7 linked regions of the Xenopus tropicalis genome follow. The protein of the gene in region 1 purifies or fractionates together with the protein of each later gene. This does not show direct contact. Links are inferred from orthologs where the notes say so. Each region holds a gene or a part of one and is shown in the gene's direction. Other genes may lie near its edges. The genes, in order: chd3, bcl11b, mta2, smarcb1, znf512b, sin3a and bcl11a.

The links.
Region 2: the proteins of chd3 (region 1) and bcl11b purify together in Homo sapiens (affinity purification with mass spectrometry; 3 studies listed by BioGRID and IntAct, with this or other methods). This does not show direct contact. The link is inferred for Xenopus tropicalis from reciprocal best matches to the Homo sapiens genes CHD3 and BCL11B.
Region 3: the proteins of chd3 (region 1) and mta2 purify together in Homo sapiens (affinity purification with mass spectrometry; 8 studies listed by BioGRID and IntAct, with this or other methods). This does not show direct contact. The link is inferred for Xenopus tropicalis from reciprocal best matches to the Homo sapiens genes CHD3 and MTA2.
Region 4: the proteins of chd3 (region 1) and smarcb1 purify together in Homo sapiens (affinity purification with mass spectrometry; 3 studies listed by BioGRID, with this or other methods). This does not show direct contact. The link is inferred for Xenopus tropicalis from reciprocal best matches to the Homo sapiens genes CHD3 and SMARCB1.
Region 5: the proteins of chd3 (region 1) and znf512b purify together in Homo sapiens (affinity purification with mass spectrometry; 3 studies listed by BioGRID and IntAct, with this or other methods). This does not show direct contact. The link is inferred for Xenopus tropicalis from reciprocal best matches to the Homo sapiens genes CHD3 and ZNF512B.
Region 6: the proteins of chd3 (region 1) and sin3a purify together in Homo sapiens (affinity purification with western blotting; 3 studies listed by BioGRID, with this or other methods). This does not show direct contact. The link is inferred for Xenopus tropicalis from reciprocal best matches to the Homo sapiens genes CHD3 and SIN3A.
Region 7: the proteins of chd3 (region 1) and bcl11a purify together in Homo sapiens (affinity purification with mass spectrometry; 3 studies listed by BioGRID). This does not show direct contact. The link is inferred for Xenopus tropicalis from reciprocal best matches to the Homo sapiens genes CHD3 and BCL11A.

The regions. Positions count from the first base shown.
Region 1 is NC_030679.2:146,946,578-146,951,209, reverse strand, and holds the start of chd3 (chromodomain-helicase-DNA-binding protein 3), read left to right. Parts: upstream 1-1,588; 5' UTR 1,589-2,083; coding exon 2,084-2,315; intron 2,316-4,632.
Region 2 is NC_030684.2:90,433,062-90,436,907, reverse strand, and holds part of bcl11b (B-cell lymphoma/leukemia 11B), read left to right. Parts: intron 1-2,144; coding exon 2,145-3,846. UniProt on the Homo sapiens protein: Key regulator of both differentiation and survival of T-lymphocytes during thymocyte development in mammals.
Region 3 is NC_030680.2:36,848,316-36,852,783, reverse strand, and holds the start of mta2 (metastasis-associated protein MTA2), read left to right. Parts: upstream 1-1,339; 5' UTR 1,340-1,458; coding exon 1,459-1,486; intron 1,487-4,468. UniProt on the Homo sapiens protein: May function as a transcriptional coregulator. Acts as a component of the histone deacetylase NuRD complex which participates in the remodeling of chromatin.
Region 4 is NC_030677.2:153,168,183-153,172,819, reverse strand, and holds the start of smarcb1 (SWI/SNF-related matrix-associated actin-dependent regulator of chromatin subfamily B member 1), read left to right. Parts: upstream 1-1,742; 5' UTR 1,743-1,744; coding exon 1,745-1,834; intron 1,835-2,439; coding exon 2,440-2,560; intron 2,561-3,674; coding exon 3,675-3,804; intron 3,805-4,637.
Region 5 is NC_030686.2:1,315,159-1,319,004, reverse strand, and holds part of znf512b (zinc finger protein 512B), read left to right. Parts: intron 1-1,716; coding exon 1,717-1,877; intron 1,878-3,085; coding exon 3,086-3,237; intron 3,238-3,846. UniProt on the Homo sapiens protein: Involved in transcriptional regulation by repressing gene expression. Associates with the nucleosome remodeling and histone deacetylase (NuRD) complex, which promotes transcriptional repression by histone deacetylation and nucleosome remodeling.
Region 6 is NC_030679.2:93,379,016-93,383,316, forward strand, and holds the start of sin3a (paired amphipathic helix protein Sin3a), read left to right. Parts: upstream 1-1,225; 5' UTR 1,226-1,331; intron 1,332-4,301. UniProt on the Homo sapiens protein: Acts as a transcriptional repressor. Corepressor for REST. Interacts with MXI1 to repress MYC responsive genes and antagonize MYC oncogenic activities. Also interacts with MXD1-MAX heterodimers to repress transcription by tethering SIN3A to DNA.
Region 7 is NC_030681.2:33,979,268-33,983,668, forward strand, and holds the start of bcl11a (B-cell lymphoma/leukemia 11A), read left to right. Parts: upstream 1-1,279; 5' UTR 1,280-1,412; coding exon 1,413-1,467; intron 1,468-1,490; exon of another isoform or gene 1,491-1,573; intron 1,574-2,249; exon of another isoform or gene 2,250-2,337; intron 2,338-2,562; exon of another isoform or gene 2,563-2,647; intron 2,648-4,401. UniProt on the Homo sapiens protein: Transcription factor. Associated with the BAF SWI/SNF chromatin remodeling complex. Binds to the 5'-TGACCA-3' sequence motif in regulatory regions of target genes, including a distal promoter of the HBG1 hemoglobin subunit gamma-1 gene.

The DNA.
Region 1 (4,632 bases):
AGAATCACTGACACTTGGGCCCACCGGGAGTTTTCCTGGTATCCCTGTGGGCCGGTCCGACACTGGGCCAAACTGTTAGAATCACTGACACCTGGGCCCACCGGGAGTTTACATGGTATCCCTATGGGCCAGTCCGACACTGGGCCAAACTGTTAGAATCACTGACACCTGGGCCCACCGGGAGTTTACATGGTATCCCTATGGGCCAGTCCGACACTGGGCCAAACTGTTAGAATCACTGACACCTGGGCCCATCGGGAGTTTACATGGTATCCCTATGGGCCAGTCCGACACTGGGCCAAACTGTTAGAATCACTGACACTTGGGCCCACCGGGAGTTTTCCTGGTATCCCTATGGGCCAGTCCGACACTGGGCCAAACTGTTAGAATCACTGACACTTGGGCCCACCGGGAGTTTACATGGTATCCCTATGGGCCAGTCCGACACTGGGCCAAACTGTTAGAATCACTGACACCTGGGCCCACCGGGAGTTTACATGGTATCCCTATGGGCCAGTCCGACACTGGGCCAAACTGTTAGAATCACTGACACCTGGGCCCACCGGGAGTTTACATGGTATCCCTATGGGCCAGTCCGACACTGGGCCAAACTGTTAGAATCACTGACACCTGGGCCCATCGGGAGTTTACATGGTATCCCTATGGGCCAGTCCGACACTGGGCCAAACTGTTAGAATCACTGACACCTGGGCCCACCGGGAGTTTACATGGTATCCCTATGGGCCAGTCCGACACTGGGCCAAACTGTTAGAATCACTGACACCTGGGCCCACCGGGAGTTTACATGGTATCCCTATGGGCCAGTTCGACACTGGGCCAAACTGTTAGAATCACTGACACCTGGGCCCACCGGGAGTTTACATGGTATCCCTATGGGCCAGTCCGACACTGGGCCAAACTGTTAGAATCACTGACACCTGGGCCCATCGGGAGTTTACATGGTATCCCTATGGGCCAGTCCGACACTGGGCCAAACTGTTAGAATCACTGACACCTGGGCCCACCGGGAGTTTACATGGTATCCCTATGGGCCAGTCCGACACTGGGCCAAACTGTTAGAATCACTGACACCTGGGCCCACTGGTACTTTTCCTGGTATCCCTGTGGGCCAGTCTGACACTGCACAGCTCTATAAATTATAAAAAATACAAATATTCTGTATTTGGACTCAACCGTACTTTAATAAACATGCCCCTAATTCTTCTGTGCCTCCAAAGTTCTGAAGGCAAACACCATGCATTCATTTTAACTCCCCAATTGTTTTTATCTTCACATTTGGGGCTATAAGAGGAGAATACACAATCAATGTGCCCGGCTATACACTCAGCTGGCCCCACCCACCCCATTCTCTGTGCACAGGCATATTTCATACATACACCGTCCCCTTTTGCACATAAAATATATATATATATTTTGACGACTCCCTTTGCCGGCTGCCCCCAGCCATTTTGTGCAGCTCTTTGCACCAGAGAGAGGCTGCTGTGTATAATAGAAATGCTCTTAATAAAAGGGGGAGTAGCTGCTGTGTGTGATTCAGGTGGGGGGAGGGATGAGGAAGGTTTATAAATATCTCACACAAGCCTCATTTTATTATTTTTTTTTAAACTTTACATATAATAATTGAAGGGGCGGCCATCTTGGTTCCCTGTCAACTTTTCCATTTGATCTGAATAAAAATAAATCCCCCTTCTCCCTCCAGATTTTTTTTTTTTTTTTATATTTTTCCACCCCCCCCTCCTCCCTTTTATTTATATTTTGTATATTTCTATCAATCTCTTTTGATTGTAGGGGGAACCTACTGGAACATTATCACCTATTTTGAACAAAGAAATGAGAATGATTTTGCTCCCCTCCCCCCACACCCAGTGATGCTGCTGTTTTCCCTGAGGTGATTTATTTTTTTACGTGTTTTTTCTCATTTGTTTTATGATTTTTTGACATTTTGGGGGGGGAATATTTTTTATTTTTTTTGGGGGGAAAACTAAAAGCCTTGGGGGCACGGCCGGGAGCTCCGGAGCAGGCAGCCGGGCTGAGCTGAGGGGAAACGGGAGGCTGCAGCCCAATGTCATCGCCGCTCAGGGACGACGAGGAGGAAGAAGAGGAGGAAGAAATGGCCGAAGAAGGGGACGGCGAGAAGGAGGAGGATGAAGATGAAGAAGAGGAGGAGGAGGAAAGCCGAGAGCAGGCGACACCAAGCCGCCATTGCAGCCCCAGCCTCTATTTCCCGCCAACAGCCTCCAGGGAGCCGGGGAGTGTTGAAACCGATTCCACGCCGCCGGTGCCAGCTGCCGCAGGTAAACACTAGGGGGGAATGGAGAATGCCGGGCGGCTTCAAGGCCCCCCCCAGTACTCCCTGGCATTAACCGATGGACTGTCTCACTGCATAAGGGGAGAGGGGGGGGGCAAGGGGACGCTAGGCTGGTGTCCCCCTATTGTTTGACAGGATGACGGCAGCCCCCCTGGTGTCCACTTCAACCCCCCCCCCCTCTCTCCTTTCGCAGTGGTGCGGTCTGTCCCTTCACCTTTCAGAGAGGGGTTAGTGCCGGGGAGGGGAAGTTGGCGCCATTTCTATTAGGCGCTCATTACAAGTTGGCAGTGAGGGGCTCCGGGTGCCTTGGTCACTACAGGGGGGAATATTAATGCGCAGCTCATGTATTAGGGGCTATTCATTCCTATAAGTGCCATTTTAGGGATTGACTTTATAGTATTTGGCGTTTAATATTTCCACATTGGTGTTTATTGGAAAATATAACCGCTTTCCTATCTATGTTTTATTGATTTCCTGTAGATAACACCAAGTATTATTATTATTAACTGAAACTACAACTCCCAGCATCCTTTTGCAGCTTAAGTGGGCTGCTGGTTTACAATTGCCTGTCCATTGACTTTAATGGTAACTGCCTGGTTACTGTGATTCCCTTTCTACAGCCGGTAAGTTCCTGAGCGGCGGAAAGATCCAGGTACAGGTATGGGATCCGTTATCCAGAAAGTTCAGAATTACAGGAAGGCCGTCACCCATACACTCCATTATAAGCAAATAATTCTAATTTTTGTAATAATAAAACAGTACCTGTACTTGATCCCAACTAAGATATAATTACCCCTTATTGGGGGCAGAACAGCCCTATTGGGTTTATTTCATGGTTAAATGATTCCCTTTTCTCTGTAATAATAAAACAGTACCTGTACTTGATCCCAACTAAGATATAATTACCCCTTATTGGGGCAGAACAGCCCTATTGGGTTTATTTCATGGTTAAATGATTCCCTTTTCTCTGTAATAATAAAACAGTAAATGTACTTGATCCCAACTAAAATATAATTACCCCTTATTGGGGCAGAACAGTCCTATTGGGTTTATTTAATGGTTAAATGATTCCCTTTTCTCTGTAATAATAAAACAGTACCTGTACTTGATCCCAACTAAGATATAATTACCCCTTATTGGGGCAGAACAGCCCTATTGGGTTTATTTCATGGTTAAATGATTCCCTTTTCTCTGTAATAATAAAACAGTACCTGTACTTGATCCCAACTAAGATATAATTACCCCTTATTGGGGGCAGAACAGCCCTATTGGGTTTATTTAATGGTTAAATGATTCCCTTTTCTCTGTAATAATAAAACAGTACCTGTACTTGATCCCAACTAAGATATAATTACCCCTTATAGGGGGCAAAACAAGCCTATTGGGTTTATTCAATATTTCAATGATTTTTAGTAGACTTAAGTTATGGAGAGCCAAATTATGGAAAGATCCCTTATCCAGAAAACCCCAGGTCCTGAGCATTCTGGATAACAGGTCCCATATCTGTACTTAGCATTTTGCATTTCATATTTCCACATTGGTGTTTCTCTGTTTGAGGTCTCGATTTAACCCCGCTTCCCTATCTATGTTTTCTTTATTTCCTGTTGATAACACCAAGTATCATTTTTAACTGAAACTACAACTCCCAGCATCATTTAGGCTTTTGCAGCTTGGTGGGCTGCTCGTTTAGAATCCATTGACTTTAATGGTAACTGCCTGGACACTGGGCTTCCATTTTTCCAACCGGTAAGTTCCTGGGCCAGTAGTGCACCAGGTAATAATGAAATAATCTTCCAATGTGCTGTTGCCATAACCTATAACTGATTATTAACTAATCTGGGGGTTTTAGTCTGGTTAAAGATGGGGAACCTGGTCGGTACATGGCTACTTACAGTGATCATTGAGACTTTTAGTAAGCTGTAGAGCAGGGGTGGCCAAAACATCAATCGCAGTCCACCGGTCGATCCCCCGTGGACTGAGTCTTAGCTGGGAAGTGCAGAGCTTTTATTGGGTATGCGTATGTACGCAAGGAGGAGCCAAAGTTGATCACCGCGCGAAAAAGTCTGGGCACCCTTGATGTAGAGAGTGCTATTCTGAGACAATTTGCAATTGGTCTTCATTTTTTTTTTTTTATTTGTGGCGTTTGAGTCATTTAGCTTTTTGTTCAGCAGCTCTCGAGTTTGGAATTTCAGCAGCAACCTGGTTACCAGGGTCCAATTTAACATAGCAACCAGGCGGTGGTTCGAAAGAGACAGGACTATAAATAGAAAGATTATGGAGCCGATTCATTAAAACACGAGTTC
Region 2 (3,846 bases), on another chromosome or scaffold:
CCAGAATAACAGTACAAAATCAATATACAATGTAAAAAAAATATCCATATTGGGCTGGGTTACGGAAGGCCCCAAGGCGTTTCAGATTCTTAAATTCCATTCCTGTCACATATTAAATGTATTTTAAAGGGGTAGTGAAACATAGATTGTTTTAAGTTTGGTCCCCACTTAAGATTTAATTCTATTCAGTCCATATAATATTTGTTAACTTGCTTTCAGAGCAACAACAACTACACCAAGGACAGCGTGGATGTTCTGGTACTGTGCGTTACAAAATGTGTCAGATAATGCCAATGAAATAAAGCTAAAAAAGAGAGTTGATGAAGCTTTTAGAATTGAGATCATGGACTCTTTAGCAAATGAGCAGAAAATGTGTCATGTTTGAATGACACGTGTCCTATTGTATAAAATTTAGCAGTGGGTGAGAGTACTTCAAGTTGCAAATAGCAGGAATATAGGATATGGCATCACTTTTATTGCACAACAATGGCTTAACCAAACAACATTCTGTCCCCCACAAAAAAAAATGTAAATATAAATTTGTGTGTTTGTCTATTTAGGAATTTCAAATAGAAAATGGAATTCCTGTGATCGTGTCTTGGCACGTTCTCTTGTGTGCAGGTTCTTATTTTCAAGACATCTTTGCAAATGAACTGTATAATTTTTCAGTCAGTTTAAATAGACTGGATCTACCATGATTACCTGAATAAAACAATTTCTAATTTTTTCTTGCAGCATATATATATCTATCTATTTATATATACACATTTAATAATTGGATGTTATAATTGGAGATTATAGGAGGGAATATTTTCACAGAGACATTTGTTTGTCACTGGATACCACTAAGCTTCCTGTGGTCAATTTGCTAGCTATGGCCAGCATTGCTCATAGCCTTTGGAGTCTTATTGATAGAATGTGTTTTTATGTCTGTGCCATCTTTAATACTCAAAAGACAGCCAGAAGCCCAGCCATTTTAGTTGACTAGTATGTTACTTGACTATTGACTATTATTATTGAATTGCTTGTTAAAGAAGGATTAGAAACATATATAACAGAAGAATCAAGATGGAAAACCTATTAGTTATAAATTACTATATACACAAATAACTTTATTGCAAACAGAGAAAAATGAGGGCATATTTCCAAAATATACAACAGGGGAATACAGAGGGATTTTCAGCAGTACTGACAGTCAGGAAAGGTTTAAACTAAATGACACATTTATTAAAACACCCCAACAATTTCATTAAAAACTTTTTCATGCTGGAACAACTGTCTGTCCTGGCATACATAAATATGAACATTTTCCATCAACAACTACATGTCCACTAAGAGTGCTGTTATTTTTTTTTTCAATAACTACTGATATATTCTCTTGTTTGCTCCACAAGCTGTCAATATTTGATTAGCCTTTAAATATCAAAAGACTGTTCCTTTGTTCCATTCTCAGGATTCCCAGCGAGTTGTTAACAAATTTGTAAAATTTACCAAATGTGATAAATCAGCCCCAAAATATCTCATGCACCATTTGCTTTGTTAGAACAAATAAAGTTGCATATATAGAAAGCCATTTTAAGCTCAAATAAATAATAATAATAATAATAATAATAATAATAATAATAATAATAATAATAAAACTATGGTTTCCAAATATTCAGCTACTTTATAACCTTATATGGAAGTATAAAGAGTGAAGTTTTTTTATGGAACTTCTTGAACCCGAATTGTTTTTCAGTACAGGGTTTCTTTTTCTGTAGGTTTTTATTTTTGCTTTTTTCATTAAAGGGGCAGTATACCTCCTTTTTAATAGGTCTTGTGCTTAACATACTTTTTGACTTATGTTTTAATCACACAAAATCTGTGAATTTAACTCATGTTGAGAAGAGGGTGTATGGTTTCTTAAACAGTGCATCAGTAATAAAATGAATAAAACAGGCTTTTTTTATTGTAAAATACTAAGAGTGGAATAAGATGTATACATTAGTTATAGTTATTTGTGTTTCATAGTGGGAAAATTAAATATTTGTATAAGAAATGTAAAGCAACTGAGCACATTTAGTTTTCAGCAGCTTAATGTAAAACTTTTAATACAAAATCAGTTTAGTATATTTTATATTTTGTGTTTTTTTTGTCTTTGGCAGGTAAAGATGAGCCTTCAAGCTATATTTGCACAACATGCAAGCAGCCTTTTAACAGCGCATGGTTCCTGCTTCAGCATGCTCAAAATACACATGGATTTCGTATCTACCTGGAAACAAGCCCATCTAGTAACTCTCTTACTCCACGTATCACTATCCCTCCACCTCTGGGACCGGAGACTGTTGCACCATCCCCTCTGATGAATTTCCTTGGGGACACTAATCCCTTCAACCTTTTAAGAATGACAGGACCTATTCTACGTGATCACCCAGGCTTTGGTGAGGCTCGGCTCCCAAACACACCCCCACTTTTCAGCCCACCCCCACGCCACCATCTGGACCCGCATCGCCTTAGTGCCGAAGAAATGGGGTTAGTTGCCCAGCATCCTAGTGCCTTTGACAGAGTTATGCGCTTAAACCCCATGACAATTGAATCTCCAGCAATGGATTTTTCCCGAAGGCTAAGAGAACTAGCAGGGAACAACTCCACTCCACCACCAGTGTCACCGAACCGCGGCAATCCTATGCATCGCCTGTTAAACCCTTTTCAGCCAAGCCCTAAGTCACCTTTTATTAGTACACCACCATTGCCACCCATGCCCCCCAGCAGTACTACTCCACCACAGACCCAGGCAAAGAGCAAATCCTGTGAATTCTGTGGGAAAACCTTCAAGTTCCAGAGTAATTTAATAGTCCACCGTCGCAGTCACACGGGAGAAAAACCTTATAAGTGTCAGCTGTGTGATCATGCATGTTCCCAAGCAAGCAAGTTAAAACGTCACATGAAAACACATATGCACAAAGCTGGTTCAATGACTGGAAGGTCTGATGATGGACTGTCTGCTACTAGCTCACCAGAGCCAGGCACAAGTGATTTAACAGGAGAGGGTGTAAAATCCAGTGAGACAGATTTTAGAAATGAAAGTGATCCATCTTTAGGCCATGAAAATGAAGAAGAAGAGGAAGAAGAAGAAGAGGAGGAGGAGGAGGAAATAGAGAATGAAAGTAGGCCAGAGTCAAGCTTCAGTATGGACTCTGAAATGAGCCGCAATCGTGAAAATGGAGCAAAGCCAATCCATGATGAGAAGTCCCTTGTTCTTGGAAAAGTTATGGAGAATGTACATTTAGGAGGCATGCAGGCATATAGTGATATGCTGCATGAAAAACAAAAAAGAAGTCATTTCATGAAACGATCTGATCAGCAAATTTTATGTAGGAGAATTCCAGGGCATGAAGATACAGTGGAGAGAGAAATAATCCCCAATGATGAAGGGACAGTTAATGGAAATTTTGGCCCAGGTGAACCATTTCCAGGCTTGCTCCCACGAAAGCCAATGCCTATTTCTAGTTCTGGACTAAACAACTCATCAAAAAGGATAAAAATTGAGAAAGATCTAGATTTACCCCCAACACCAATAATCCCATCAGAAAACGTTTACTCACAGTGGCTAGTAGGATATGCAGCATCAAGGCACTTCATGAAGGATCCATTTCTAGGATTCACAGACTCTCGACAATCTCCTTTTGCAACTTCTTCTGAGCACTCTTCAGAAAATGGAAGTCTGCGGTTCTCTACACCACCAGGTGACATGCTGGATGGAGGTCTCTCAGGGCGAAGTGGGACAGCGAGTGGCGGCAGCACACCACATATCAGTGGACCAGGGCCTGGCCGGCCAAGTTCAAAAGAAGGAAGAAGAAGTGACAC
Region 3 (4,468 bases), on another chromosome or scaffold:
GAATATCGGACGAAACGAGGTTTCGTACGATATTATTGGTGCGTGTATGGCCAGCTTAAAATGGCAGGAAACCTCCAGGCCGTCCCATAGTAAGTGCTATAAAGTCTATTTTACAACCAATAGCTATCTATATGGACTTTCTTTAACCAAAACTACAAGGGATATCTAGAATAAGGACACTGGGGACTTTTTAACCAAAGTTAAAACAGCATTGCCTTTATCTCTCAACAGTAAACTTGCTATAGACGTTCTTTATATAGTGATCCCTACATACTTGGGTATCCAAACAATCCGCCAACATCCGATTGCCCATCTAGACAGTACATGGCCATGTAATGAATTTCTTATGGAATTACTGGAATGCTGTCTCTCCAATTATTATTTTAAATTTGAACTTTTATACTACCAATAAGTTAGTGATACAAGTATGGGCTCTAATGTAGCCCCTTCCTTTGCCAACTTATACACGGCTGATTTCAAACAATTATACTCACCCCTTACAAGGACAAAATCACAGAATGCAGTATTTCATTTATGAAACATGGAGCAAGCAGGAGCATGCACAGTTGAATCTAGTGCGGAATCACAACTCTACATACTCCTGCAGGGTCAGTGTTGGCGGAGAGACACAAAGAAGATCGAAGGGAGTGAAGATGGAGCCTGCAATCTGCGCTGTGCTGCATTTTTATTTCAGTTGTTCAGATAGGGACACTTTGTTATTAAATAGACTATGCAGGGTAGGAAAGGTGAGGAGGCAGATGGAGGTCAGTTGAGTGGGGCTTTTCTACCTAGGGGGTTTAGTTCTCCTTTAAAATCAGGCATCATGTGATTTGTTACATCCTGTAATAGCAAGAGCCTTTCAATCAATAAGCACCAATTATAAATGATGACATTACTGAGCAGCACCTTTATTGAATTATTCACACATTTTGTGTAATATATATTACACACACACATATATATATATATATATATATATATATATATATATATAATACACCGCATATTACAGAACGATTTGTATATTATATTCCATAAAGCTCAGATAGAGTAAACTTAAACCATAGGGACGTGTATGTCGTTACTCACTAAACCAGCATTTTACCAGTTATTAAAAGTAAGGGATACTAGCAGACCAACTCTGCCGCACATCACTTTAATGCGTCCACAACTACTTCCTCCTTCCGAGCGCGTTCTACTGACTGCAGCCTTTGTGCGTCGTTTACTTCGGAGAAGTTCGGGTTTTCCCGTCTCCCTCTTCGGAAGTCATCAGTTGATTCCGGAAGCACTCGTTTATGTCCGGATATAATTCTTTCAATCGAACGCTTTGTCCCTCCCCCGGAAGGCTGCTCGCTTCTTTATGCCGGAAGTTGCCCCTCTTTCTTCCCCTTCCTCTCCCCCCACAGGCCCCGGAAACGCGCGCAGATTCCCGAGTTATTGTGCGCGGGAGAGAGCAAGATGGCGGCTAATATGTACCGGGTGGGAGGTGAGAACTCACAGTAAAATCATTCTGAGCCGAAAGCATATCTGTAGAGCTTTATACTATGTAGTTAAACACACACTTTATCCGCTGTAGAGGGAGAGTCTATACCCATACATCATCTGTACAGAGTAGCGAGCACCGAATGCTGAATTAAAGTAAACGCTTTTTATTTACATGCAGAAATGTAGAATGATTATCTTTATCTTATTTCTGTGCATTGTGTGTCTTTAGTCTAATGCAGAAAATATATAATACACACATAATATATATATATATATATATGCACACATAGATCATAAATATATATATTTATATACATACACACACACACACACACAAATGTCAGTATGTAACCTAAATACTAAAATGCTGCTGTGCTGTTTCTGCAGTATTAAACTAGCCCGGTTACTCTTTACCTGACTCAATCACACTCAGCCTAGTTTAGTGGCCGGGGCTGTTAGGACCACCCCTTATGTACCCTGCCTGTTTGTCACTGTTCATAATATTGATCAATGGAAACTGCCCTGACTTTGTGCACTGGCTTCTGTGAGGTCTGTCTGTCTGTCACTGCTTGTGTGTGTAAGACAGGGAGCTTCCATGAGAATAACCCCTGCTGATCTTGCTCAGAGGGCTTCTGTGCCAAATTGCTTATCAGGTAGATGACCCTGTAACCAGGACTGTACTGCCAATCTATGGAATCTGGCAAATGCCAGAGGGGCTGCAGGTAGATTCTATAGGCAGTCAATATTTATTGGGCTTTTTGGGCCTCTGTCTACTTGAAAAGCCAGGGCCACTTTTGATTGTCAATCTTGACCTGACTGTAATCCACTGTTTCTGGGCCATGGCTGCCCAAGGACATGTTGAACTCTCATTATCCTGCAGCATATAACTATAACCTGTCTATCTTGAACACAATCAAAGCTGGTATTTACACAACTTTTTTATCCCCAAGTGTTAATTTTCTTTACACTTGTTTATACATATTTATATAGGATTTTTTACATTTTTTTGTTTGCATAAGAAATTTGTGGGTATTTACAATTTATTTTCTTAACTAACCTTTATTAACATTCCATAATCTGTGAAAGAGCCTTCTTATTAATGTAGTCTGATCATTTATCCTTTGTATCAGTTGTGGTGCCAGTAAAGCTTACAGTCTAATGTGATAGATTGCATTCACACAAGTGGATGAATTTCATCAGGTGTCGGTTAAAAAGAAGGGAAGTTCAAGCACCCCCCCTTCCCACAGTGATTACAGTTAGTTGCCTGGTACCCAGGGCCATTTCTCCCATTTGCTGAAAACTGCACTGGACTGGGGTATTTTTGTAGTGGCACCACAGGGCAATTCTCTTCCTCTTTGCTTTTTAAGCTGGGAGTGCAAGCGCAGTAAAGTGAAAAGCTGCAGGGCTGTGGAGTCGAGGAGTCGGAGGCAATTTTGGGTACCTGGAGTCAGTCGGCAAAAAATGAACCGACTCCTACTAAATTTAAATGGGAATAAAAAAAAAATAAAGCAAGTTTAAATGTCCCAATTCACAAACAGTCATAATTAATTACTTCTCTGCTATAAGAATAAAGCCCAATGCACGCAGTGCATAAACAAACACGTTGAGTGACCATGAAGCATGTTTTTCATTGACTGTATGAATGTATAAAATACATTAACATGTTAAAAACAGAGGAGTCGGAGTCGGAAGTATCAGAAACTGAGGAGTCGGAGAATTTATCTACCGACTCCACAGCCCTGAAAAGCTGAACTAAAAACAAAAGTCCAGCCTTTTCATTCTACACCACCGTCTCCTTTAATAAGCCTACATGTTTTTGTAACGTGGAATTAAACTGCAGTATAATAATAACAAAGGTGTATTGGATTCATAGGAAGCAGTATGTTAAGCTTATATGTGATGCCTACTGAAATATGTTTTATATGTTTCAGGACAGTAAAGAAATTTGCCTGCTCAAAGTACCTATGTTAACATATGTTAAGTCCCTATAGTTACATTTTTTTTTTTTAGTAGCCCACCCAAAAAATAGTAACGGTCTATGGCATCTTACAGCAGCCCCTCTGGCATTTGCCAGACTCCACAGATCGCCAGTGCGGGCCTCATAGCAACTAATTAGATGTTTGTTTTTAAAGAGCTGGCCAGTAAACACTACTTGCCGATTGATTAATAGATGTGGGCTAGCTTAAAGGAACAGTAACACCAAAAAATGAAAGTGTATAAAAGTAACTAAAATATAATGTGCTGCTGCCCTGCACTGGTAAAAGTTGTGTGTTTACTTCAGAAAGTCTACTATAATTTATATAAATAAGCAGCTGTGTAGCCATGGGGGCAGCCATTCAAAGGAGAAAAGGCACAGGTTACATTGCAGATAACAGATAAGCTCTGTAGAATACAATAGTGTTTTATTTGTTATCTGCTGTTATCTGCTATGTAACCTGTGCCTTTTCTCCTTTTTTCCAGCTTGAATGGCTGCCCCCGTGGCTACACAGCAGCTTATTATATAAATTATAGTAGTGTTACTGTAGCAAACACACCAGTTTTACCAGTGCAGGGCAACAGTGCATTATATTTTTATTACCTTAAAGCTCTTTAATTTTTTAGGGTTACTGTTCCTTTAAATAGGTGATTCACCTTCAAGTTGACTTTTAGTATGTTATAGTATGGCCAATTTTTAGCAACTTTTCAATTGGTCTTCATTTTTTATTTCTTTGCCTTTTTCTTCTGACTCTTTCTAACTTTCAAATGAGGGTCACTGACCCCAGCAGCCAAAAAACTATTGCTCTGTGAGGCTACAGTTTTATTGTTATTATTACTTTTTAGTTCTTATCTTTCTATTCAGCCCCTCTCCTATCATATTCCATTTTCTTAAACCACTGCCTGGTTGCTAGGGTAATTTGGACCCTAGTAACCAGATACCCACTGAAATTCCAAACAGAAGAGCTGCTGAACATACAGCTAAATAATTCATAAAGCACAGAAAATA
Region 4 (4,637 bases), on another chromosome or scaffold:
AAAACTGTAATGCAGATTGGCATTCTCTGTATTTCCTATGATATTTAGCACTCTCACCGGCAAGTAAAATCTGAGGAATGGCTAAAGGACCTTGGTTTTGTATACTGTAAAGAATTAATCCTGCAAATAGAAAACACAAATGTCCTATCCTACTTTCAAGACTGTATAATCAATTTGCAAGTAGAACAAAGAGTTTTAAAGCCAAGGAATTTGGGTCAGGAGAAATAAAACCTATATTAGTTTGTGCATGTGTGCATGAAAAATTATGGCATTCACTTATTGCTGTGCTAGTGGCCGGCCTTTTCTCAGCCAGCAGAGAAGTGCCAAAATCCTTGAAAGGATCCTGGGCTATTTCATCCAAATTAATGTTTCCATTAATATTAATTACATGCTTCTCATCTGGTTTAGGTGTTTCACAGCCAGCTGAAAATACTATGTAAAATGAAATATCCAGGATTGGATCATTATCTTATCTTATAACCTGAGGTCAGTTGGCATCTCTGCAGAACAATGTTCCCTATAAGCAGTGCGCTCACACACAACAATTTTGTATTTATTTTTACCTGAGCAGTTTTTAAAAACGTGCACACAAGTTTAAAATGTATGCACACAAGTTTTTTGCACACAAAGCCAAAAAGTAATGAGGGAACGTTGCAGCAGGTCTATTTCATAGCCCTTAATTGCTTGTTAGGGCAGGGTTGGACTGGGGCGGCCGGGGGCCCAATGGGACTGCCACCTGGGGACCCTCCATCCCAGTTGCGACATCAAACCCCGTCCCCCTACTGCATTTTCTCCTTACAACTGTGATAAAAGGACTGTGGGCCAGCACCTAGTTATAGGAGGGAGCAAAACTGGGTCAGGACAGCCTACAAGGGCCAGGGCCCTGCCGATCCAGTCCATACTCGGTTTGAGGGCTGCCAATGGCCTATTGTTGAGTGGTGTAACTACTACCCCATGGGCATGGTTGCAAACTTTGCACCAAGGTCCCTCTCAAGACATGAGCTGCCGTGCATACTAAACATATCATTAAAGGAACAGTAACATCAAAATATGAAAGTGTATTAAAGTAATTACAATATAATGCACTGTTACCCTGCACTGGTATAACTGGTGTGTTTGCCTCAGAAAGACTATTATAGTTTATATAAGCAAAGCTGCTGTGTAGCCATTCGAATGAAAAAAGGCACAGGTTACTTAGCAGATAACAGATCAAATGCCATTGTATTCTACACAGTTTGTTATCTGCTATGTAACCTGTGCCTTTTCTCCTTTTTTCCAGCTTGAATGGCTGCCCCCGGGGCTACACAGCAGCTTATTTATATAAACTATAGGAGCGTTCTGTAGCAAATACACCAGTTTTACCAGTGCAGGGCAACAGTACATTACATTTTAATTACTTTAAAACACTTTCATATTTTGGTGTTACTGTTCCTTTAAACGTTAATGTCCACTGTGGGTTTCGGGTTCCAAAATATTAAAAGGCCGGTATTTTTTTTTCTAGAAAAAGTGGCAACCCTTGGCTGATCTTTAGTATTTCCGCACTAATAAAAATACTAAGTAAAACTATTTTACGAAGCCGCTACTTTAGTCAGCGTACAACCAAACTACGCCCGCAGGCAGCTATAAGTTGTGCGCTGAAACGCCGCGCATGCGCTTTATGCAGTTCCCTTGACGCCTGCGCTTCGTGTACTACGTAGTTGGCACATGCGCTGTTCGGTGGGCCCGGTGTTGGAACGGAGGCAGGATGATCATGGCGTTAAGTAAAACGTTTGGCCAAAAGCCAGTGAAATTTCAATTGGAAGAGGATGGAGAATACTACATGATAGGATCCGAGGTACGAGTCCAGGGCAAACGTTAAACATCTCCGCTGAAGCTGCGTAATACAAACGTGGGGGAGAAAGGGGTTTGGGACAAAGGATTCCTTCTTTGTTACAGGCACTGTTGTGGGCGAGACCAAGGTTTCTGTAAATCTTCATGCGTGTAAAAGAAAAAAACCAAAACAATAACAAAAGGGGGGCGGGTTATTAGTTAGATAAAAAAGAGTGGTATATCCAACCGGCGGGCCCTTGTTTCACTACAGCTCTCATCACTCCCAGAATGAAGGAAGTGCTAGTAGTTTTAAAGCAGCTAGACCTACAAGTTGAACGCACTGGTGAAGGGAGAGGTGGCCAATGGGGGATGAATTTGAAAGTGCAGCTGACTGGTTAGAAGTGCAGCAACAGAAAGCATGAGGTAAACAAAACATCTGTAATAGAAATAGGCTGCAACTCCTACCTTTCCCCTAAATCCTCCTTTCTGGAGGCCTGCTGTGTTGTGTAGCGCCTCATTGTATGCTGTCACTTCAAGGTGTACACATTATATTTGGGTCTGTGACCAAATTTTGCAGCCTGAAAACGTATTATTGTTTTGACTCTTAAATACTTTGTCTTTTATTTACAGGTGGGAAATTACTTGCGCATGTTCAGGGGATCATTATATAAACGGTACCCTTCCCTTTGGAGACGGTTGGCAACAGTAGAAGAGAGGAAGAAAATAGTAGCGTCTTCTCATGGAAAGAAATGTAAATATTAGTAGTTTTTTTTACCTGGTTTGTCTGGTGAAAGAACAGCTTGGATTAAGTTGAATGCACCAGTTGTCTATGGCAGCCCTGGGATTTCCGAATTTTTACCTGTACTATCTGGATTTGCAAGTCTACTATCTCCAATGGTGCTTTGTTCTAGAACCTTATAACCCAAATACTTGCTTCCGTGGGATATTTCTGGCCTCTGTGGAACACATTACATTACATTAACATTTATTTATAAAGTGCCAACATATTCCTCAGCGCTGTACAATAAGTGGGTTACATACATTGGACATAAAGAGTAACATATAAAGCAATCAGTAACCGATACAAGAGGTGAAGAGGGCCCTGCCCAAAAGAGCTTACAATCTACAAGCACCTGCATAGCTTTCACTACCGACTCCAAGGATGCCCCGCAACTGCAAATACCCTCTCTACCTTAAATTACTGGGCCATCCCCCACCACTATTATTCCCCGGCTACCATTGTGGGGAAACATATATTTGATATCTCCAGGATTTTTTCCTGGAATCATCACAGGCTCAAATACCTAGGTGGCCACATTATAAATACCATCTATTCAACATATATTTTACAACAAAAATATCAACTACCTCATTTGCCCTTCTACAGATTCTTTTAGTTGCGACGTGCTTTCAATTTACAACTTTTAACCTATACCTCAGACCTTGTACATCTAGTATTGAGAACATAACTCGGATAGGTCCAGGCTGGTTTCATCTGGTGGGATGTGCCAGCTGGACACATCCTGTTCTGTTGCACAATGGTCTGTTGAAACCCACCCCAACCTGTCATGCATGCTCAGACAGTTGGGCTGAAGGGTCCAGATCTGCCAACCAAAGCTGGCCATGCTAGGACAGCTTTACAGAATTCAAAATTCACAAAAATGTAAACCATTTCAGATTGTCTAAGAATACCTAATCTAAGCTATTTTCAACCAGCTTTTGGCAATTAACATTGTTTCTACTATAATTTTAAGATGACCTCCCTTAGTTTGCCACATTCATAATTTCTTGTTTTAATGTAACCGAACTACTTTAAGTATAAAGTTTTTAAACCTTTTACATATTGCTGTTTTCTTCCTCCTTAGATCATGGATATACCACTTTAGCTACCAGTGTTACTCTCTTAAAAGCTTCAGAAGTTGAAGAGATCCTTGATGGGAATGATGAGAAATATAAAGCAGTCTCTATTAGCACAGAACCACCAACCTACCTCAGGTGAGTGAGGCACACATTTGAGGTTTTTAGTCATATGAAACATTTGGGAACCCCTCTCAGCCTGCATAATAGTTTACTCCACTTTTAACAAAAAAGATAACAGTGGTATGTCTTTCATTTCCTAGGAACATCTGAGTACTGGGGTGTAATCTGAACAAAGATTTTTAGTGAAGCAGTATTTAGTTGTATGAAATTAAATCATGCACTGGCTGTGCAAAAATTTGGGTACCCTTGTAATTTTGCTAATTTGAATGCATGTAACTGCTCAATACTTATTACTGGCAACACCAAATCGGTTAGCTCGTTAAGCCTTGAACTTCATAGGCAGGTGTGTCCAATCATGAGAAAAGGTATTTAAGGTGGCCAATTGCAAGTTGTGCTTCTGTTAGAGTCTCCTCTGAAGAGTGACAGTGTGGTTTAGGGAAAGGCTACAGAAAGCCATCTCAGAGGTTTAAACTGTCAGTTTCAACTGAAAGGAATGTAATCAGGAAATGGAAGGCCACAGGCACAGTTGCTGTAAAACCCAGATCTGGCAGGCCAAGAAGAATACAGGAGTGGCATATGCAGAGGCTTGGGAGAATGGTAACAGACAACCCAAAGATCACCTCCAAAGACCTGCAAGAACATCTTGCTGTAGATGGTGAATCTGTACATCGTTATACAATTCATACATCTGTATGGCAGGGTGATGAGAAAGAAGCCCTTTCTGCACTCATGCCAAAAACAGTCACTTGTTGTATGCAAAAGCTCATTTAGACAAGTCACAGTCATTTTGGAACAAAATGCTTTGGACTGATGAGACAAAAATTATTTGGTCATAACAAAAAGAACAC
Region 5 (3,846 bases), on another chromosome or scaffold:
CGTATCCTGTATTGTACCCGACCCTGTACCCCCCGTGTCCTGTATTGTACCCGACCCTGTACCCCCCGTGTCCTGTATTGTACCCCCCTGTACCCCCCGTGTCCTGTACTGTACCCGACCCTGTACCCCCCGTGTCCTGTATTACCCGACCCTGTACCCCCCGTGTCCTGTATTGTACCCGACCCTGTACCCCCGTGTCCTGTACTGTACCCGACCCTGTACCCCCCGTGTCCTGTACTGTACCCGACCCTGTACCCCCCGTGTCCTGTATTGTACCCGACCCTGTACCCCCGTGTCTGTACTGTACCCGACCCTGTACCCCCGTGTCCTGTACGAAACCCGACCCTGTACCCCCCGTGTCCTGTACTGTACCCGACCCTGTACCCCCGTGGTCCTGTACTGTACCCGACCCTGTACCCCCCGTGTCCTGTACTGTACCCACCCTGTACCCCCCGTGTCCTGTACTGTACCCGACCCTGTACCCCCCGTGTCCTGTACTGTACCCGACCCTGTACCCCCCGTGTCCTGTACTGTACCCGACCCTGTACCCCCGTGTCCTGTACTGTACCCGACCCTGTACCCCCGGTCCTGTACCTGACCCTGTACCCCCCGTGTCAGTACTGTACCCGACCCTGTATCCCCCGTGTCCTGTACTGTACCCGACCCTGTACCCCCCGTGTCCTGTACTGTACCCGACCCTGTACCCCCCGTGTCCTGTACTGTACCCGACCCTGTATCCTCCGTGTCCTGTACTGTACCCGACCCTGTACCCCCCGTCGGTACCCGACCCTGTACCCCCCGTGTCCTGTACCCGACCCTGTACCCCCCGTGTCCTGTACTGTACCCGACCCTGTACCCCCCCGTTGTCTGTACTGTACCCGACCCTGTACCCCCCGTGTCCTGTACTGTACCCGACCCTGTACCCCCCGTGTCCTGTACTGTACCCGACCCTGTACCCCCCGTGTCCTGTACTGTACCCGACCCTGTACCCCCCGTGTCCTGTACTGTACCCGACCCTGTACCCCCCGTGTCCTGTACTGTACCGACCCTGTACCCCCCGTGTCCTGTACTGTACCCGACCCTGTACCCCCCGTGTCCTGTACTGTACCCGACCCTGTACCCCCCGTGTCCTGTACTGTACCCGACCCTGTACCCCCCGTGTCCTGTACTGTACCCGACCCTGTACCCCCGTGTCCTGTACTGTACCCGACCCTGTACCCCCCGTTCCTGTACTGTACCCGACCCTGTATCCCCCGTGTCCTGTACTGTACCCGACCCTTATCCCCCGTGTCCTGTACTGTACCCGACCCTGTACCCCCGTTCCTGTACTGTACCCGACCCTGTACCCCCCGTGTCCTGTACTGTACCCGACCCTGTACCCCCCCGTGTCCTGTACTGTACCCGACCCTGTACCCCCCGTGTCCTGTACTGTACCTGACGCCTGACCCCCGTGTCCTGTACTGTACCCGACCCTGTACCCCCCGTTTCCTGTACTGTACCCGACCCTGTACCCCCCCGTGTCCTGTACTGTACCCGACCCTGTACCCGGGCCCCGTGTCCTGTACTGTACCCGACCTGTGACCCCCCCGTGTCCTGTACTGTACCCGACCCTGTACCCCCCGTGTCCTGTACTGTACCCGACCCTGTACCCCCCCGTGTCCTGTACTGTACCCGACCCTGTACCCCCCCTGATGGTCGCTCTGTCTCTTGCCCCAGGCCTCGGTGCCCCCCCCGTGCCCGTTCCCCTGCCCTGAGTGCGATGCCGCCTTTGCCTCTAAGTTGCAGCTGCAGAAGCATCTGGGTCAGAACCATTCGGACAAGGACCGAGCCGAGGGGAAGGCGCCGACCCCAAGCGCAATCTCCCGACTGGAAAAGAGGTGCAGCTGCGCCCCAACATTGATTGGGGGGGGGGCTATAGTAACGGGAGTATTAATGACAATACTGGGGGGGGGGGCTATAGTAACGGGAGTATTAATGGCAATACTGGGGGGGGCTATAGTAAACGGGATATTAATGGCAATACTGGGGGGGGGCTATAGTAACGGGAGTATTAATGGCAATACTGGGGGGGCTATAGTAACGGGAGTATTAATGGCAATACTGGGGGGGGGCTATAGTAACGGGAGTATTAATGGCAATACTGGAGGGACTATAGTAACGGGGAGTATTAATGGCAATACTGGGGGGACTATAGTAACGGGAGAATATTAATGGCAATACTGGGGGGGCTATAGTAACGGGAGTATTAATGGCAATACTGGGGGGGCTATAGTAACGGGAGTATAATGGCAATACTGGGGGGCTATAGTAACGGGAGTATTAATGGCAATACTGGGGGGCTATAGTAACGGGAGTATTAATGGCAATACTGGGGGTCTTATAGTAACGGGAGTATTAATGGCAATACTGGGGGGAGGCTATAGTAACGGAGTATTAATGGCAATACTGGGGGCTATAGTAACGGGAGTATTAATGGCAATACTGGGGGGGCTATAGTAACGGGAGTATTAATGGCAATACTGGGGAGGGCTATAGTAACGGGAGTATTAATGGCAATACTGGGGAAGCTATAGTAACGGGAGTATTAATGCAATTACTGGGGGGGGCACTATAGTAACGGGAGTATTAATGGCAATACTGGGGGGGGGCTATAGTAACGCGAGTATTAATGGCAATACTGGGGGGGGGGGCTATAGTAACGGGAGTATTAATGGCAATACTGGGGGGGCTATAGTAACGGGAGTATTAATGGCAATACCTGGGGGGGCTATAGTAACGGGAGTTATTAATGGCAATACTGGGGGGGGGCTATATAACGGGAGTATTAATGGCAATACTGGGGGGGGGCGCTATAGTAACGGGAGTATTAATGGCAATACTGGGGGAGGGGCTATAGTAACGGGAGTATTAATGGCAATACTGGGGGGGGGCTATAGTAACGGAGTATTAATGGCAATACTGGGGGCTATAGTAACGGGAGTATTAATGGCAATACTGGGGGAGCTTGTAGCACATATTCCAGGGGTTGATAGCAGGGAGTTAGAGGGTTAGAGGGGGTAGGTTGTTCTTACCCCCTGTCTCTCAGTCCCACAGTATCTGGGGGCAAATCCCGGCCACAGAGGTTTCCCAAGAAGCCCAAAGTTGCCCCTTCCACAAAGAACGGAGAGATTGGGCCCCCGGGCCGCAAACAGAGAGACCCCTGCCTGTCCGACGAGGACCCCGAGAGAATGAGGCACAGTAAGGAGGGTCCTGTGAGTCTGTGGGAGGGTCCTGTGCATCAGTGGGAGGGTCCTGTGCATCAGTGGGAGGGTCCTGTGCGTTTGTGAGAGGGTCCTGTGCATCGGTGGGAGGGTCCTTTGCATCGGTGGGAGGGTCCTGTGCGTCCGTGGGAGGGTCCTGTGCATCGGTGGGAGGGTCCTGTGCATCGGTGGGAGGGTCCTGTGCATCGGTGGGAGGGTCCTGTGTATCGGTGGGAGGGTCCTGTGCATCTGTGGGAGGGTCCTGTGCATCGGTGGGAGGGTCCTGTGCATCGGTGGGAGGGTCCTCTGCGTCTGTGGGAGGGTCCTCTGCGTCTGTGGGAGGGTCCTCTGCGTCTGTGGGAGGGTCCTCTGCGTCTGTGGGAGGGTCCTGTGCGTCGGTAGGAGGGTCCTGTGAGTCTGTGGGAGGGTCCTCTGCGTCTGTGGGAGGGTCCTGTGCGTCGGTAGGAGGGTCCTCTGCGTCTGTGGGAGGGTCCTGTGCATCGGTGGGAGGGTCCTGTTTGTATGTGGCGCGTAACCCCGGCCTGTGGGTATATGGCGCGTAACCCCCGGCCTGTGGGTATATGGCGCGTAACCCCCGGCCTGTGGG
Region 6 (4,301 bases), about 54 Mb from region 1:
AGACTGAGTGCTGTTAATAAAATCAAAAGGTGCTTCAACCAAGTTATTAGTTTAGGGGGTGCGCACTAATGCAACCAGGTTTTGTATGATTTGTTTCACTAAACTGTTGATTTGTTTTCAACTTCTTTGTACAGATCACAATTTTGTAAAAAAAGGTGGAATAAGTTCTTACAGATTTTATCTTGGTTTCTTTTTTTTTTTTAATTAACACAAACATGTGTTATGTATGTATACAGCGATGAATAGAAGAAAAATAATTTAATTAAAACAAACAAGGGGGTCATTACAATAATAGGTCAATAAATACAAAGTACGATTAATACTAATAAAGTACAGCTGTAGTAAATATGTCACAGAGCTAAGTAACAAAGAGACAAGAGTATGGAGATTCCTGTTCTGTACAGCTTACAATCTATGGCTAAGAAAACTTACAATATATTACAGTCAGTTGCAGAGACAAAGCAGTGCAGCGCTATATATTCTATTCCACATATAAGGTGCAGGGCAGACAATATGAAAGAACACAAAATAATAATCTGTCAATATTGTTATGCCTCTTTCCATATGTTTTCTGGGCTATTAAAAACCTAGACCTTTTCCGCTCGCTCTGCACCATCCGACAAACGTTTCCTATTCCGCGATTCAAGCACCGCACAGCATTCTGGGTTCCATAGTTTTCATCTATGTAAGTATTAAAAAGCAGTGCATTGTGGGCGATATCTTTTGTGTCGTACCTGCAATGCATTTTGGACGTTGTAGTTTTTTAAAAAAATTCTATATTGATTTGAGGTATGTCGTTACTGTGCACATTCAGCCCCTCCATATTCCTATAATTTCGCTCTTGTCGTCCAAAATCATTACGCGCACCTGTCACATAAACATATTTGGGATGCGCGCTGTAGCCGCGGTCTCTCACAACCTCCCGCCCAACAGAGCCCTACTACTTATGAAACAAATACAGCGGTCATTGAATCTGATAAGAGTTCTAAGTCAGCTTGAGGGCCGCGAGTAACACTACAAAATTAACATTAGACTCTACAAGCCTTAGTAAGGAAGGAGAGAACAAACAGCACCAGAGCCAAATGGGACGTGCCCTTCAAGGGGGCGGGTGGCTAAGCCCCCATGACGGAGCGCTGTCTCTATATGGCAAGAAGGCGGGGTCGAGTTTAAATGAGTTCCCCTCCCCTCTAAGGTTTTCTATGGTACACACCCACCCTCTTTTCTGTAGGGGGCTGGACTAGAACTAGGAGTCTTGGAAAAAAACGGGGGGGGTGTATCTATCCTAGCATAGAGTCCCTGACTTGGTGTGGCCGTATATTTATTTCTGGAAGGTATGTGCCTCTTGTTTATCCTAAAGGGAGCCATTCTTTGTTTGGACTGGGGCGCTGGGGTTGTAGTAAGGCCAGTGGGACACATCGAAGTGCTTGCCTTTTCGCAGATGGGGTCAGGCGGCGAGTTACGAGTCCAGCCGTGCTGCACCTCGTATGTACAGGGTGTCCGGATACACATTCCCCCGTGGCACCGTTCTCCAACCTGCGCCTAAACAGCTGCTGTTGGACTGGAATCCCCAGAGCCACGCGAGAGTTTGCTGCCTAATAGCTGTGGGTGGCGAGATCCCTGCCCTAGGGGAATCGATGGTGGCCATGTGGCTACCTGTCCAAATATGCCTGCCAATATGCTCTCATCTGTATAGAGATGACCGCCAGGCCGGGAGATGGATAGATGGAGTAGGGCTGAGACTGGGACAAATGTTATGCACCCGAGCCAGCTGGGCTGTTACTGCCCAGTCAGTTGGCATGGGCAAAGGCTGGTTTGTCCTGTCTGAGAGGGAAGAATTAGGGATCCCTTATGTTCTTAAAATGACCTTAGGTTTTTTTGGGGGGTGGGGGGTTAACGCAGTTCGTGGTGCTGGGGTTTGGGGGACCTACAGCGATTGATGGAAGGCGGAGGTTCAACGCTGACGCTTAAATCATTTGTGCCTTTAAGTTTATTTCTCCCCGAATATCACACGAGACCAAATTTTGGGAAAATGTGAGCTCGGTTTTTGCATGAGATTAATAGGAGTATAGACATGGGGTTTGGGGGGTGGTGCTTCATTGCAGTTAGGTGACTGTATTGTCTGGGAGGCAGCAGAAAACACCCCTGAACAGCCGCGCTATGTGGAAGCGGCTCCTAAATAGCCTGCCTTACACTACACTGTTCCATGTCTTCTGGTCAATGTACTATTAAATTTAATTGCCTTCTGCACGCATAACGAAAACTAGCCGCTATCACTCACGCTAAAACCTCTACTCTCTCCCTTCCTAACGCGCTTAATAATTCTGAGATGGTACGTGCCTCAGCTTTATCCTTTTTGGCCCCGCCCTATCTAAACGCTATTGGCCCTCTCCAGTACCTAGGCATCCTGTATTTTCATTGGGCAGAGTGATTGCACCGCCCTTATTCGCTGGCACTAGGCATCGACTCCGTGTTCTCTTCCGTGTAAGGCGTGGCTTAACACTATTGGTAGGGCGTGCATATTGCTGGTCACTCCTGGTCATAGGAAGCGGAAGCTGATAGCAGGCAATGGTTGGCTAGTTGTGTTGTACCCGGAAGTGCTGTCCAATAAGCTTTACTTTATGGGCCGACGTTAGCCAAGGGGCGGAGCTGAGGACAATGAGGCTGCTCTTCTTATACTCCTCCCCAGAAATGTAGCCTTAAGTTTCATATACGTTTATCGTCTTATTTGTCTCCAAACATTTTTTGATTAATACAATGTGTGAAAACAGTATAGACACTGTGGTCGGAACCCTAATGGTAGCTTATCCTTGATTTAGAGGCAATTCTGCAATCTGACATCAAGTTTTGTGTGTGCTAAGTACGAGAGAGAAAGGTTTGCATCTTGGCTATGAAACATCACACTTTTGATTAGTCAGCACCAGGCAGCATTGCTTTATCATAGGCTATAGACATTTTACTACGTTTATTTTAGGAATATAACAACTCCAACTCATGAATGGCATACTGAAACATTATAAATGCTGCTGTGCCTTTCTATGGACCTAATGCCCTTGGGATGTCGCAATTATGATTAAAAATGTCATACTATAGTGTTAAAGAAAAAAAAAATTTGAAATGTCTGGTGGAAGATGTAAACCCTAATAATGTGAACTTGTATGTATATTTACACTGCACTGCTTGTGCATGCTGTGCTGTACAGTAGGACAACACAATAATAGAACAATTTAGACAGGTCCCCATCAGGTCACAACAAGGTTACAGATATAGAAAATCAGTGTATATTCTTATAAATAGTGGCATTAGTTATAATTGGTCATACACATTTTTAAGAAATACAATTTTTCTTTAAAAAAAAGTACATTTGAAATAACATTTACGTTTTATGACTATAGAAACACAACTTTAACCTGTTATATTGCGCCTTTTAAAAGGGTATGGAACTCCTGTTTTACAAAAGAGACTGCATTAATCCCTACATAAACTTGCTTCATGCACATCTATAATCTAATTATACATGACATCCATCAACATGCTGTGAGATTAGATCAGCTCATACAAACAAATTATGGAGTGCATAGAAAACATACATCAGAACTGTTTTATACCCAGTTCTTAATCAGTTTTTAAAAAGTGTCACATAACCCAGGAAATCAAGAGGCCATGTGCAAGAAATTGGTAGGGAATTCATAAAACAGATGTTAATTTCACTTTGTCGTGTACAAAAACGGCACTGTCAATATTGCATTTTTGCGTAACTCCCTTTCCCAGGAGGGTTTAGGCATTCCTTTATACTAAGTTGGTTAGGTTGTTAAGGTGGCCATACATCCATGGCCACCTCTGTATATATCTGCAAGTTTGGGCCAAATGATGACAGCAGAAAGAAGTAAAGAAAATCTGCAGATTCTCTTTTTACTTGACTAGTAAAAATGTTTCTGATGGATTGGTAATCCTCAACTCATCAGGATTATGTGCCTGAATGGCAACTAGCCATATAAATTTATTTGGTAGTGTGGTCGAAATCAGGCAATTGCACAACCAAATCTGTGCATGTGTAACCAGTTTTACACATTTTTCTCTAAAGAGGCCAATATCTCCAGTTACTGGTCTCTATCCTATATTAAATAGGAATACAATTCCAAATGTGATTTGCATTATTTAGTTTAGGACTTCCTAGGTACAGCAACCCTCACTATTCCTAGCATTTATTAAATGCTTCTCTTGGACTGTTATTCACAGGGAGAAACACTGCAGTATGGTATGTGACATGCTTAAGTTCATGTCATGTAACATCACCCATAGAG
Region 7 (4,401 bases), on another chromosome or scaffold:
GTATGCCAGTGCTGTACTCCCTGTGTGAGGTGGGAGCATGTTGCCTCTCTGTGTGCCAGTGCTGTACTCCCTGTGTGAGGTGGGAGCATGTTGCCTCTCTGTGTGCCAGTGCTGTACTCCCTGTGTGAGGTGGGAGCATGTTGCCTCTCTGTGTGCCAGTGCTGTACTCCCTATGTGAGGTGGGAGCATGTTGCCTCTCTGTGTGCCAGTGCTGTACTCCCTGTGTGAGGTGGGAGCATGTTGCCTCTCTGTGTGCCAGTGCTGTACTCCCTGTGTGAGGTGGGAGTATGTTCCCATGTTGCCTCTCTGTGTGCCAGTGCTGTACTCCCTGTGTGAGGTGGGAGCATGTTTCCTCTCTGTGTGCCAGTGCTGTACTCCCTGTGTGAGGTGTGAGCATGTTCCCATGTTGCACCCAGCGCCACAGTGTATCCTCGCCCACCCCCAGCCCTATCGCACATTCATGGAGACGCCTTCTACACAAGTGCTTGTGCTAAATATTAATACCTGTCTTGTACCATCAGCGCCCCACTCACTTCTTCCCGCAACAACTTCATAAACCCCTCCCTGGGCTCGCCTCTAACTTCCATTTCCCTCTCATGGTTCCTCATACCGGACCCGTCATTCTCCTGCCGCCCCAGCCCGAGTGTAGGTCTCAGCACCATCTTATACCCCGTGAGGTGATTCTCCCTGACCCCTTGCTGTCTCTCCCACCCCCCCCCCGCTCCCTGGGCTCGCCCCCCTTAGCCCCAGTGAGTGTGCCAGAGACTGTGATCCCTTTCCCCTGTGTTATCTCCACAGCAGGATCACATTCCAGTTCTCCTCTCGCCTTATTTCCTTTCTCCCTCTCAATAAGCAGCGGCAGCGGCAGCGGCAGTAGTACCAGCAGCCTGTGTGTAGCTTCTCCTCCCCCCTCCCGCTTGTACCGTGTGTGCCCTCATTCCCACCCCCCTCTCTCTCTCATCACTGGCCATTGGCTTTGCCCGGGTCTCATTTTCCTGTCCAGCCCCTTATGAATGTCCATTGGTGTTGGCTTCCCTCCTCCCCTTCTCTCCCACTGGCCCTGCCCATGTTTTCTATGTCTCTGTCCATCCAGCTCCTGACGTTCAAGTTTGCAGGGACGTCACGTCCGCACTTGAACTTGCAGCTCAGGGGGGCTTTTGCCATTTTTTTTCATTTCTCTCCTTCTCTATCTCTCTCTCTCTCCTTTTTTTTCACCCCCCTCCAAAAAAAAAAAAAAAAATGTCATGACGGCTTGTCCCACAATTCATCTTCCCCGCACCATCTTTGTATTATTTCTAATTTATTTTGGATGTCAAAGGCATTTGATGAAGATATTTTCTCTGGAGTCTCCTTCTTTCTAACCCTGCTCTCCCGATGTGAACCGAGCTCTTACGAGCCACCCACCGACCGACATGTCTCGCCGCAAGCAAGGCAAGCCGCAGCACTTAAGCAAACGGGAATACTCACGTAAGTACCGATCCCACACTTACCTGCCCGCACAGCTGCCCACTGCTCCAATGCAAAAGGTGAGAGCATGACAAAACCACTGACAAGAAGGGGGAAAAAATCTTCAAGACTTTCTATGGAGCCTTTCATGTCTTCAGAAGTAGAAAGCCAAATACTTTTCATAGAAAGGATAAGAGATTGTGGCAGAGGGGGTAAAAAGCCAAATGTTGCAGAGAGTGGGGGTGATAGTGGCCACAGCACAGAGACCATGCAGAAGGGATGACATGGGAATCAGTAGGCAAGTGTGGGCTTTTTATGAGCAATTCTTCTTTTACTTGAACTTAAAAGTGGTGACCTGAAGGTGTAAGGTTTGGGCAGCGCTGGGTGCTTTTTGGCTTGCTGCAGGCATGGGGCATGCTGTATAGGCTGCTCTATCAACTGCTCGCTGGAGCCCAGGGAAAGAGACTGCTGCAAGAGGGAATCTCCTCTGTGGCCGCTGCTGCTGCTTTTCTTCCCAAAGAAATCTTCATTCTTCTTTCAAAACTTTTTATTTTTTTCCTCGTTCCACCGCCGGCAGAGGAAATCCCTTCCTTTTCCCTCTCTCTCCCTTTCGCTCCCTCTCTCGCTCTCACTCTCTTACTATTTTTTGGAAGATTTTCAAAAAAAGTGGAAGTGGATTTTGATTGGGAAAAATCTCGTGTCTGAATGTTTACAAGCACCGCGTGTGCAGAGCCTCCTGCCAACAACTGAGGACAGGAAAAGCAAAATAATCTCCAGAAAAAAAGCAACAGAATGCACACACACGCACACACTCGCACACAAAAACCCTCTGAAGAGGCAGCTCGGCCGTGAAAGAAATCAAATTGTCTGTCACTTTGTGACTCAGAAAAGGTTGGAGAGGGTTCTCGAAGCAAGTTGTTGGTGTTGTTGTTTTGGGTGCCGAGCACTTTTCGCCGCTTTGTGAAAAAAATAACGTGTGAATGTGCAGTGCAGAATTCCCTCGATCTGATGTGAAAAGGTTCCAGACTGATTTATGTCATCTATATATCCATATTGTTTCCTGGTGTCTGAAACCCCTTGTTGTGACATTTATGGATTCTTGAAAAAAATGTGCTTATTTGCATCTGTTTTTTGTTTTTGTTCAGCATGGATTCCCCATGACACATTTCTTTCATTCCATAAATCTCTTCGACCCCTTCAGGTACCGGCCAGACCATAGGTGAAAGTCATTTTACCTGTAGTATTTCTTTATATTATCATTTTGTTGCTCTTTGGTTCAGGTTCTCTTTCCTTTTGTCTGTTGATCTTTTATATAAATGTGGGTGTTTGCATCTTATCACATTTACAATACCGGATATCAGACATGACCCCATAGCATGACCCAGTCCTTTGGGAATAGAATTTCATATTTTTAGTTATTGTTCCACGTCTTTGTTACATGTTGATATTTGCTTTTTATAGTTTATATTGGTGTATTATTTTCTTATTCACAGTTAACTTTTTTCCATTCTTGTTGTCAGCAATAATGCCTTTTTTTCTGTCTGAACCCACCCCCACCCCTTGCCAAGGGAGCTCCAGGGGATTGATCACCAACATGAGGTTTCACTTAAGACTTGCTTAGAGATACCAGATCTGACCGCTAGGGAGCAGAGGAAGATTAGGAAACCTATCAGCTTAAACCTTTAACTCGTTCAATGTATATTCCTTCATTTTCATATTCCTTTTCTTCCTGGTGGGGGTGAATGGGTAGAATATATTTTCTCCTCTTCATTTCTTTGTCTTTTTTCCTCATCTCACTCTAATTATTCATGTATTTATTTGCGCAGAGCAACCCAGTTTTAAGGTATAAACAGTTTTCGAGTTTATATTTTATTGATGATGAATTATTTTGAAAACTGTATTTATACACTAACTCGCTTTCCTCATAAATGTTACAATGAAAGAAAAACGTTGCCTTGCAGAATAAGACCCGTTTTCCCCACTTGCTAAAAATCACCCACCTCTTTGTAAATAAGTAACATTCATAAATGGGTCAGAAATGAACGTGGTATGCCAACATGCATTATTTTATCAGATTACCAGCTCTCAATTTAGTTGTGTAGTAATTGCTTTTTTACCCCCACCCAAAAACTGAAATTAATCGCATTTCTAAACATCTTTCCTATATATACATTCATTAAAATGTAAAAGTTATTTCGTAAATGAAATTGCTGTCTTTGCTATGTTTCTGGCTGTTTACGTTGTCTGCACTTCTGGTTTTGACTGCGGGCACAATGTAGCAGAAGTCAACTGATTAACAGACCTTGAGGAGAATTGGCTTCTGCTACATTGTTTCAAGAGTCAGAGAACAGAAAGGGATCAGCAAATACCATTTTTGGTAGCAATTACATTTACAAATAAAACCACTGAACTTTTTGAATGAATGTACATGGGATTTTCTTTAATTTACAAAAAGCAGTTTTGGGGGTGCACCCCTTTAAGTCAGAGGTTTAGTTGGGACTTTTTTTTTTTGCCCGTCCATTTTTTTTTTTAAAGTTTACATCGTTCTGTTCTCCATTAGCCCAGATGAAGGAAGCAAGGAGGCTTGTGTAAGAGGGGGAGGGGAGGGAAACAGGTTTTTCCTAAAACAGAGAGGTTCCTTGTTGACTGTCTGACATGTTTGCCTTTTATCCACGTGTTTGGACAGAGAGAGGAAGAGGGAGGGATAGAGTCCTCTGTTCAAGCTCTCATTGTGCTTTTATTATTTGCAAAGTTCACTTCAGAAACACTACTAGCTAGGGCGAGATCTTTATTATTTCTATTAAAGCCCGGACCAGTCCAGACTCCAGATAACATTATCACTGTGACGTTCTGCTTTAAACTTGCAGGCCTTAAAAATTGTATAAATCATTTAAGGTCATCACATTGTACAGAAAATTGTATTACTGCCTAACCCTCAATGTTTACTATGCTTAT